2 linked regions of the Coturnix japonica genome follow. The protein of the gene in region 1 purifies or fractionates together with the protein of each later gene. This does not show direct contact. Links are inferred from orthologs where the notes say so. Each region holds a gene or a part of one and is shown on either strand. Other genes may lie near its edges.

The links.
Region 2: the proteins of INPP5E (region 1) and PDE6D purify together in Homo sapiens (affinity purification with mass spectrometry; 3 studies listed by BioGRID and IntAct, with this or other methods). This does not show direct contact. The link is inferred for Coturnix japonica from reciprocal best matches to the Homo sapiens genes INPP5E and PDE6D.

What each region holds. Positions count from the first base shown.
Region 1 is NC_029532.1:6,366,958-6,371,392, forward strand, and holds the start of INPP5E (phosphatidylinositol polyphosphate 5-phosphatase type IV), read left to right. Parts: upstream 1-1,398; 5' UTR 1,399-1,556; intron 1,557-2,096; 5' UTR 2,097-2,283; coding exon 2,284-3,140; intron 3,141-4,057; coding exon 4,058-4,181; intron 4,182-4,435. UniProt on the Homo sapiens protein: Phosphatidylinositol (PtdIns) phosphatase that specifically hydrolyzes the 5-phosphate of phosphatidylinositol-3,4,5-trisphosphate (PtdIns(3,4,5)P3), phosphatidylinositol 4,5-bisphosphate (PtdIns(4,5)P2) and phosphatidylinositol 3,5-bisphosphate (PtdIns(3,5)P2).
Region 2 is NC_029524.1:13,401,747-13,406,199, reverse strand, and holds the start of PDE6D (retinal rod rhodopsin-sensitive cGMP 3',5'-cyclic phosphodiesterase subunit delta), read left to right. Parts: upstream 1-1,563; 5' UTR 1,564-1,680; coding exon 1,681-1,730; intron 1,731-3,292; exon of another isoform or gene 3,293-4,453. Other genes in the region: COPS7B (COP9 signalosome complex subunit 7b), read right to left, coding at 645-1,025. UniProt on the Homo sapiens protein: Promotes the release of prenylated target proteins from cellular membranes. Modulates the activity of prenylated or palmitoylated Ras family members by regulating their subcellular location.

The sequences.
Region 1 (4,435 bases):
TCTGGCTAGAAATAGCTTCGCTGTGATAAAGAATAGACACGAGGGAAGAAATAGTTGTTGTCTGTTACAAAAACCATTCATAAATTGCAATGGCAGTTTATTCCTTCAAATGATTTTAACCCTTTTAGTGGGACTTTTGGAGACATAGTTTCAGGGATTCTTTAATTTCTGAAGGATGCTCCCCTCCCCATGGGGAGAAAACACGTCCACGTTGTACCATGACACTCTGTGGCCTTAAGAGGACCATGCACAATTGTAATGCTTACAAAACAGGTTTATCAGTGTATGAAATTTGAGTTGTTCATCTGGGAAATGCCTCATGTGCTGGGGGGGGTGGGAGGGGAAGGGGGGCCACAGCTCATCCAAATAAATCGACCTATATTGAATGAAAACTGTGACTGTAATCTAATCCTAATTTGATTTGGAATCTTATCTCGTATGTATGTAGTTTGTGGTTTTAGACTACTTGTAAAGCAAATTGTATAGTCTGAAAGAAGCTCTGTGTATAATAGCTGACGCTGTACTATTTGATGAGTGAGTGTTATGAAGTGCAATACGGTTACTTTGCTTTCTCTCGAGCTTCTGGCGCTGAATGGTTGAGGTGGTAACAGCTGGCGAGTTTGGTTTCTCTTCCTCTTCAAGGCCAGAATCAGCATAGAACTGTTCTTGACTTTCCATTACTAAGATAACCAAGGTCTTATGTAGCTTACAGCCGAGTTGTACTAAATGTAGGTGGATCAGACCTCTACAGCTGGACTTTAAAATGGTTAGGTTCAATGTAGGAAACCTCGCAACCTATGATATGCAACTTTCCACATCGACTGAAGAATCCGAATCATCCGCAAAAGAGAGAGAAATAAACTTTAAATATTTATTAAATCCTTAGGCCATATTTTATTTAGAATTTACCACCGAAAATCGGTTTTTTTGATTGTTTATTTTTTATTATTATTTACTTGAATTTCTGCCCAGGAATAGAAGCGATGTGATTGTGGAACTGCCTGTGTTTGGTCCCTGGTTGGTTTTTTTCCTGTACATGAGATCTCAATAGCCTTACATCTGTTCCAAAGGGGTTATGGAAAACGCTGGTGGGGTGGAACTGTGCAAAAAACCTGGTCTGGGCACAGCGTGATGACTTTTCCTATGGCTGAAGCTCCCTCTAGCTTTCTCCTTTCAGTAGAGACTGCCAGCCATCTTAATTCAAGCAGGCTTCCTTTGAGCTGGGAGCTGCTATCTTTCCTAAGTGTAAGATTTGACACTGTAAATTCTTTAAAATAAAGATATTTTGCGCTCTGGAGCACTTTCACATTTTCGCTCCTCCCTGTGGTTCTTCCTTTTAGTCCTCCGGCCTCAAGGGGGCGCTGTAGCGATACTCCAAAAGCGGGGCGGGCCCGTTGCTAAGGCCGAGCGGCGGGGCCTGCTGTTCCGCCGGGCCTCGGGCAGCGGCTCCGGTTCGGAGCGGGGCGGCTCCGGGCCCGCCTGGCAGTGCCGGGGCCCGGGCCTCGCTGAGGCGGCGGCCAACACCGCGAGGGAGCGCGGCCGTGTTGCTCTCAGCGGTGAGTGGGGCCGCAGGGCTGTGCTGGTGGGGCGGGGGGGGCTGCGTGTGTGGCGGCCGCCTCAGGGCTGCTCGATTCGGGGTGTTGATGGAGGATGGATCCTAAAGAGCTAAAAGGGATCGCCTTGAACCCAGCATTGCGTCCCTATCACGGGGTGGGGGATGTTTGATGGTCGCTCCGTGCTGGGAGGCCGATGGAAATGTCCCCGTCCTGTGGCTCTGGTTGGAGCTGAGCGCTGTGACTCAGGGCTGCCCTGCGGCCTTAGAAGTGGCAGAGATGGATGGGGCAGGTTTAACTCGCTGTCATTGCTGCTGGTGCATAGAGCTCTTAGGGAAATAACGGTGTGAAATCAGCATCCTGCTCTTGTGATGGTGAGAATAACGGTGGTGCAAGGTCACGGTAAGGTTTGAGTTGTTGTAACGTGGACCTACGAGGAGCTGATGAATTCAGCAATCCAGAGTTTTGCAGCTCAGGAAGTTCTCGTTCCTACGTGTTTCTTTTGGGGAAAATTCATGTGTTTTACCTCTTGAAATCTTACAGACAATGCAGCTGTCTACACGGTCACCTTCCCATTGCTCTCAACCAAAGACTGAACCATCTTCAGGCTCCACATCTTCCTGCCTTGGTTAAAGCTCTGTTAAAGCCCACGGAGTAAGCAAGGGAAAGAAAGCTATGCTGTGAGGAACTGCATGTGTGGAGGAGCCCGTAGCTGGTACCCGGGAGGAGAATGAGTTCTCTCAATGGGCTTTCGCAGCACTCAGGGACATGCATTACACAGAAGGCAGAAGGTGGAGCGGTGCAGGGCCTGCAAGCTAAAAAAGCAGGCAAAGCAGCAAAGAAGGAAGCCAGCAGCAATGGTGTTCTGAGCTTTGAATCTCCTCCACGCGTAGAAACCTTATTGAATGAAACCTTAAAGCTTCTACCAGATGAACTCAAAGCTAACGTGAAAATTAAATCCATTACCCCAAGGCCTCCCAGGAAACCCCGGCTGGAGCGAGCTGCATCTTTGGATGAGAAGAACTGGAAGAGGTGGAGGAGGTTTAGAACTAGTCAGGAAAGTCTGACCGATCCCAACGAGACGAGCTCCTCCAATGGTTCCCTGCAGGAAGCAGCTCTTACCTCTCCCATCAGGGGTAGAGCAGCCCCGTGTGCTCAGTGCTGCGAGCCAAACTCCTTGCACAGTTCACCAGATGCCTCAGAAGAAAGTCCCATGGGGAAAAGCAAAGGAAGCACTTCTGACCTGGGGAAACGAGCCTCCGAGATCTCCAGTGCCTTTGGTGGGCTTCTGCGTGGGAAAGCGTTTGCAGGCAGCAAACCCAGGCTGTCCCAAATAATGCCTGCTCGACCTCTGCCGCCCATGGAGCTCAATGTGGCCTCTCATACGCTGAGGACAGCAAATAAGATTGACCCAGATTTAATGGATTATCGCCATTATTCTCAGCACAAGTTTGGGAGGGTAAGCAACAGCTTCAGTGACACCAGGCTGCATGGCAACGGGACGCTCTATGATAATTGCTCCACAGACTCCATGAAATCTACGTTCAGTCTGCTCACTCCCATTCGTTCCAAGGATGTCCGAAGCAGGTACGTCCCCCAGCTTCTCCTGGCAAAGTCTGCTCTGTGTGGTAGGTGCTGGCTGCCTTGTTGGAACCCTGATGGTCAGAGGCAGAGAACTTGTGACTGAAGGTCTCTGTTGTTACTGAGGAGACTGGAAATGGTTTGTAGATGAAAATACTGGTACAGATACAGGTACAAATACTCCGTGTTCTCCTTTGGGCTGTGTATTGTTTTTCAGAAGAGAAAGATTTACTGTTGGTTTACTTGTAATATTTAAGTAAGCTGTTTTGAAGGATAAGGAGCAGTAGCTGTGCATGCTAACAGATGGGAATATTTCCGCTCTGTCTCAGATCTTGCACTATTCTTATAGAATAATCTTGGGTCTCATTACAGCACTTTCTCCTCCTGGGGCCCTGACCTCTTACTCAACTTGGCTGTCTTCATAAATTAGTTAAGCTTAGGTTATTGATTGAGGGGGGACTGATTTTGCTTGTTAAGGTATGGAATCCTCACTCTGCAAAGACCTCCCAGCACACAGCACAAATGTGGCACAGATTGGGAAGTGTGCTGAATGGTAAAGGACACCAAGTACTCAGCTAAAAACAGTGTGCTGTAGGTACACAGTGCTCTGCAGGACCTCAGGGGACAAATCTGATCAGTGATCCAAGGAGTGGGTGGCGGTAATAACAGGGAAAGTAATTCTGCTTTGAGTTGCTTTGTGTTTCTCGTACGTCTATTACTTCTTATCTTTGAGTTTCTAAAAACTGCAGATAAACATTAAACAGATAAACACCTGCAGATAAACAGGTAAACATTAAGATAGCAGAATAGTGTATAAAGACATTGTTTTCATGAGCTAAAGGTTTATTCTTGATTACCTTAATGTTTGAGCGTTAGATCTGTATTCCAATCATGATGCTCTTTTGTGGGTTTTCTGTTCACAGAAGCTATTTGGAAGGCAGCCTTCTGGCAAGTGGTGCCTTACTGGGAGCAGAAGAACTCAGCAGGTATTTCCCTGATAGGAATATTGGAATTTTTGTGGCCACCTGGAACATGCAAGGCCAGAAGGTACGTGCACATCATTCTCCAGATGCTTTTGGCAGCAGTAGAATTATCTTGTATTTATTACAGAGATAAAGTCTCAGTATTGGAGTTCCTCGGGTACTCAGCATGGAAACAGCAAGAAGCTTCTTAGCAATTCTCTGGCTTTTTGTGGCAGCCCCTTGATGCCCTGTTGCTGTCAGGGTCTTGTGAAGGAGGTCTGATTGTTCAGTAAGAGAATATGCCTAAAGAATATCATCTCCTGTCTACATCTTTACTTA
Region 2 (4,453 bases), on another chromosome or scaffold:
CTCTCACTTCACGCAGACCATGAGAAAGACACATCTGGATGGTGGCACATATGCAGTTGTTTGACCCCTTCCATCAAGTGTCAGATGGGAGAAGACCTCAGCTTATGAGCCCGTCTCCCTGGGACACAAGCTCTTGTAGCAGTACCTTTGGAGAAGAGCATTGCAATGTGCTTTGGGGAGGCAGAAAGGAGGCTGGAGGTGTCTCCTCACCTGCAGTGACAGCTCAGAGACTGTGATGCCTGCCAGAGGTGTAAAAGCAAAGGTGAGGTTTTTAGAACAAAATGGTTCAAGGGAATAGTGAGACTTGCTGCAATTTTCTTGCAAGAGAAAGTATTTTGAGAGGAAAGAACTCAAGGTTTCTGTCACTCTGAATCACAGAATATCCTAAACTAGAAGAGACCCATAAAAACCACTGAACCCAACTCCTGGTTCCACATAGAACCACTCAGATCATGTGTTTGACAGCACTGCGCGGGTGCTTTTTGAACTCCAGCACCCAACCAACCTCTAATTGAAGAACCTATTCATGATATCCAACCTGAACCTCCTGAGTTACACTGTCCCACCACACGCTTCTTCCCTAGTTTTAGGAGGGGAAATGGGTGGTTTTTGAAGCTGAGACGCAGAGGCTGCCAAGCACGTACCTCCTCACACAGCGTGGAGAGTTTGGGCACCCATGTCAGAACCACAAAGGCCCCAACACCGACATCAGGGCACACTCTCGTGTCAGGAGCCCTTCGCTGCCGTTGCTCGCTGCGAGAGCCGCTTCTGTCTGGCTGCCACCTCCCTGTAGCCCTAAGCGGGGCGGTTCGGAGCCCCCTGTGCTGTGGGTAGAGCAGCATGCTGTACTTCTGCCCCGCAGGCTTCTCCCTCACACACAACCGCTCGCTCTGGCCTTCTCCAGCTCTGCTGCTGCCTGCGCTCTCCCTGTCTCCCTGCCAGCTTTTCTTCGGGAGCGTTCTCTGCCCTTCTCTGGACGCACTGGGTAACGCCGGGCTATCCAGAACACAACAAGGCTGCTCCATGTCAGCTAACGGGGCGGTCAGCGCTGCCCACCGCCAGCCTTAATGGCACTCATAGGCTGTGCCGTTAATGGCACTCATAGGCTGTGCCGTTAATGGCACTCATAGGCTGTGCCCTCGTATGTTCGACGCCTCGCGGTTCTCTCTCCTCAGCGTGGCAGTGCTGTTGAGGAGCTCTGTGGCAGTGTACGCGGAGCCCCCAGTTGTCGTCCCGCACGCAGACTGTTATAAGCCGTGTTAACGTATTAACGAACGGCCGGCACCGGACACGCGTCCCCAATGGGGCCGGGCGAGGTTTGTCCCGCGCCGCCTCCCGTCCCCGCCGACGTCACTCAGCCCCGGCCGGGCCCAGCGCCTTAACAAGCTGCGCAGCCGCCCTTATATCAACGGAGGGGGAGGACGCGCCGTCCGATTGGTCCATCCCGCTGTCCTTCATCAACCAGCAGGGGCGTCGGCGGCTCGCGATTGGTTGTCCCGTCGGGGCGGGGAGAGCGGCCGCTGGGATTGGCTGCCTCGGCCGGTGGCGGGTGCGAGGGAGTGCGAGGGGGCGGGGCGGGGGGTCGTGAGGCGCCGCTGTCAGCGCCGCTCCCGGCCAGGCCCCGCGCAGCCAGGACAGCCCGCTCAGCCCGCCCAGCCCGCGGCGCGGCGCGGCAGGACCATGTCGGCCACGGACGAGCGGGCCAAGGAGATCCTGAGGGGCTTCAAGCTGTATCCTCACCGAGGGGGAGCGAGGGGGGGGCGGGCGGGGCTGGGGGAAAAGGGGGGGGGTGGCTGGGTACCGGGGTTTCCCTGTGTGAGGGCGGTTGTCATGGCAGCTCTGCCACACACGGGGCTGTTGTGTCGCGTCCCCCTCTCGGCCTCGCGTTGCGGGTCCGTCCCTCTGGGCGCTGGGCCGGGGGCAGCGCGGGGCTCCGAGCGGGCACTGCTGCGTCGTGCCGGGCCCTGAGGCGTCAGCGCTGCCCGAGTCCGGTTGTTAACGCGTCTGTCTGCGGTACGCGATGAAAGTTTGCGCCTTGTCGCTTGGCGTGCTGGGCGAGCACCAGTTTAACGCCGGTGCAGTGAAGCAGAAGTGGGAGCGGAGGGTCCTGAGTGCGGCCTTGCAACCTTGGGGATGGGGGGGGGGAATGACGGCTCAGCGCATAGGTCTGTGTGTGTGTAAGGGTGGGAGATGTGTACAGCTGATTTTACCGTAGCAGATTCTACTGCGCATAGTGGGCAGGTGCCAGCTTGGCCTTAAGGGGCAAGAAAACCAGTGGCTGTATTTTTTTTCCCCCCATAATGGAAAGGACAGAACCAAAGTGAATGAAAGGACAGAACCAAAGCGAATGAAAGGACAGAACCAAAGCGAATGAAAGGACAGAACCAAAGCGAATGAAAGGACAGAACCAAAGTGAATACCCCTCTTGCTCCAATGCTGTTATTCCTGAGCATATTTTTGGCCAGCGAGGTGCTGCTAATCTCTGTGCCAGCTGCAGCAGAATCTGAGTTACTCAGTTGGATTCAGCTGCTATCAAACTATTGGCAGATGCTTTGCTGAACTTATGAATCACTGTCCCCTCCCCCCCAGCTTTTAGTTCTGCAGCTGGTTCCTTTGCTTCTGCACTGGTAATATTGACAGTTCTTTTTGTTTGTGGAGCTGTAAGATTTTGGCTGTCAAAACACAATTTAAGCGTGTTTTGTGCGAGTAATTAGGAAAAGCATAAGCTCCTGACAAGATGAGACTGAGCTTTTGGTAGAGATGAGAAGGGTTGGAGAGTTAAACTTAAGGTACAGACTTTCACGTGTTTGTTTCTACTGGTTTGTGCACGTGCTTTGCCAGAAGCAGAATCTGAATGAAGGTCTGTGTCCAGCTATGGATGAAAAATCACTTCCATTGTTTGGTAACTTAAATAGAAAATGTTTCTTGACCTGGTGTTAAAGGTAAACCTCAATAGCTCAGATTGGAAAATCAGGAAAGTATTTATCGATGTATTGCATAGATGGGATTTCTTGAGTTGAGATAGTTGAATAATATGCAAGTATTAGAAGGAAAGTGACAGAGCAGGCATTCCTCATTTATGAGAGAAAGCCCTGAGACACCACAGCATCCACACAGGAAGCAGTTCGTGCCCAGATGTGGCCTCATTCTCTGTAAGGCAGCCACCAGCTCAGGCTTCCTTTTTTTGACAGTGTGTATTCTAAAACAGTACATTTGAAAGAGATGCTTTATCTTCTGCTCCCTGTGCTGAAGTATGTGTTAACTTGGTGCCCTCAATAAGAAAGGAAGAGAGAAACATCCTCCGGGAAGCTCTCAGGTTTATATTTGGAGTACTTGAACTTCTTCCTCCTCCCAAGAAGGAAGGAGCACACCCTGCAAACTTGCTGTTAGCACCAGAAGCCATCACAGCAGTACTTTAGGTATGGCATAAAAAGAAATAAGTATATCCAAGGTAGGTTTATTTGGTAGAGGGCATCACTGAGGAATCAGTTTTCTCACTTGAATGCAAGAACACACACTTTGGAAATGGAGTTTGCATTGAGTACTGGAGCACCCTCAACTAAAGTCTGTTCATTTGTGGTTTCTGAGAAGAGACTAACTACAGGCTTTCAAGCTGATTGGGACATGCTGCTGTGCACATTAAATTACAGCCTAAATCCACCCTCTGACTTAGCACCAAGATATGCTTCCCTTCCTTTATGACACTAGCACAGAAGCATGTTGTGGCTAGCGTCAAATTCAGACCAGGGTATTTTACTCCCTCTTCCCATAGACTTTGTTACTTAAGAAGATGAAAACCGAAAGGAGAAATATTTGATACTTGCAGACAAAAGAGGTTTCCCACTTTATTACACTAGGATTTTTTTATGGCACCAGTAAACTAAACACCAACAGCGTAGTTAATGTGTTACGATAAGAGATGGAAAGCAACCATCAAGATCTTCTATAGCTTGTCACTTCCTAAGAGACAGTACTTGTTATCAGACCTCTCAGGTACATTCATCAACTCACTGTTCTAAGGATGCTGCTTAAAATACAGCATCTTGGTGGTCTGGCACTCTGAGAATACATTCTAGTTGCTTGTCCATAAGTAATACCAGTTCAGTTAGCTAATATTCCAAAGGAAAGCATCAGTAATTACTGAGCTTCATTTCCACAAGCTTTTATACACAGCTGGTCCTGTAATCTCAAGTGCATTCGGTCTGACTCTGCTCTGTGCTCTGTCACTCCCTCTGTAGCTTCCTCCTGAACTGGGGCAGTTTCTCCATCAAACTGCAGAGTGGTGTTTTAATTGATCTCTAACCAGCAAGGAGAAAGGAGTTCAGCAAAGCCAGCTGACTCTTGTAGCATGGTTAAGGTACTAAGTAAACATACCCATTTTCTATTTTAAAACTTACAATTCAGGCAAGATATCACCTGTATTATTTGCTCTTTCACAGAAGAGCATCAGAAT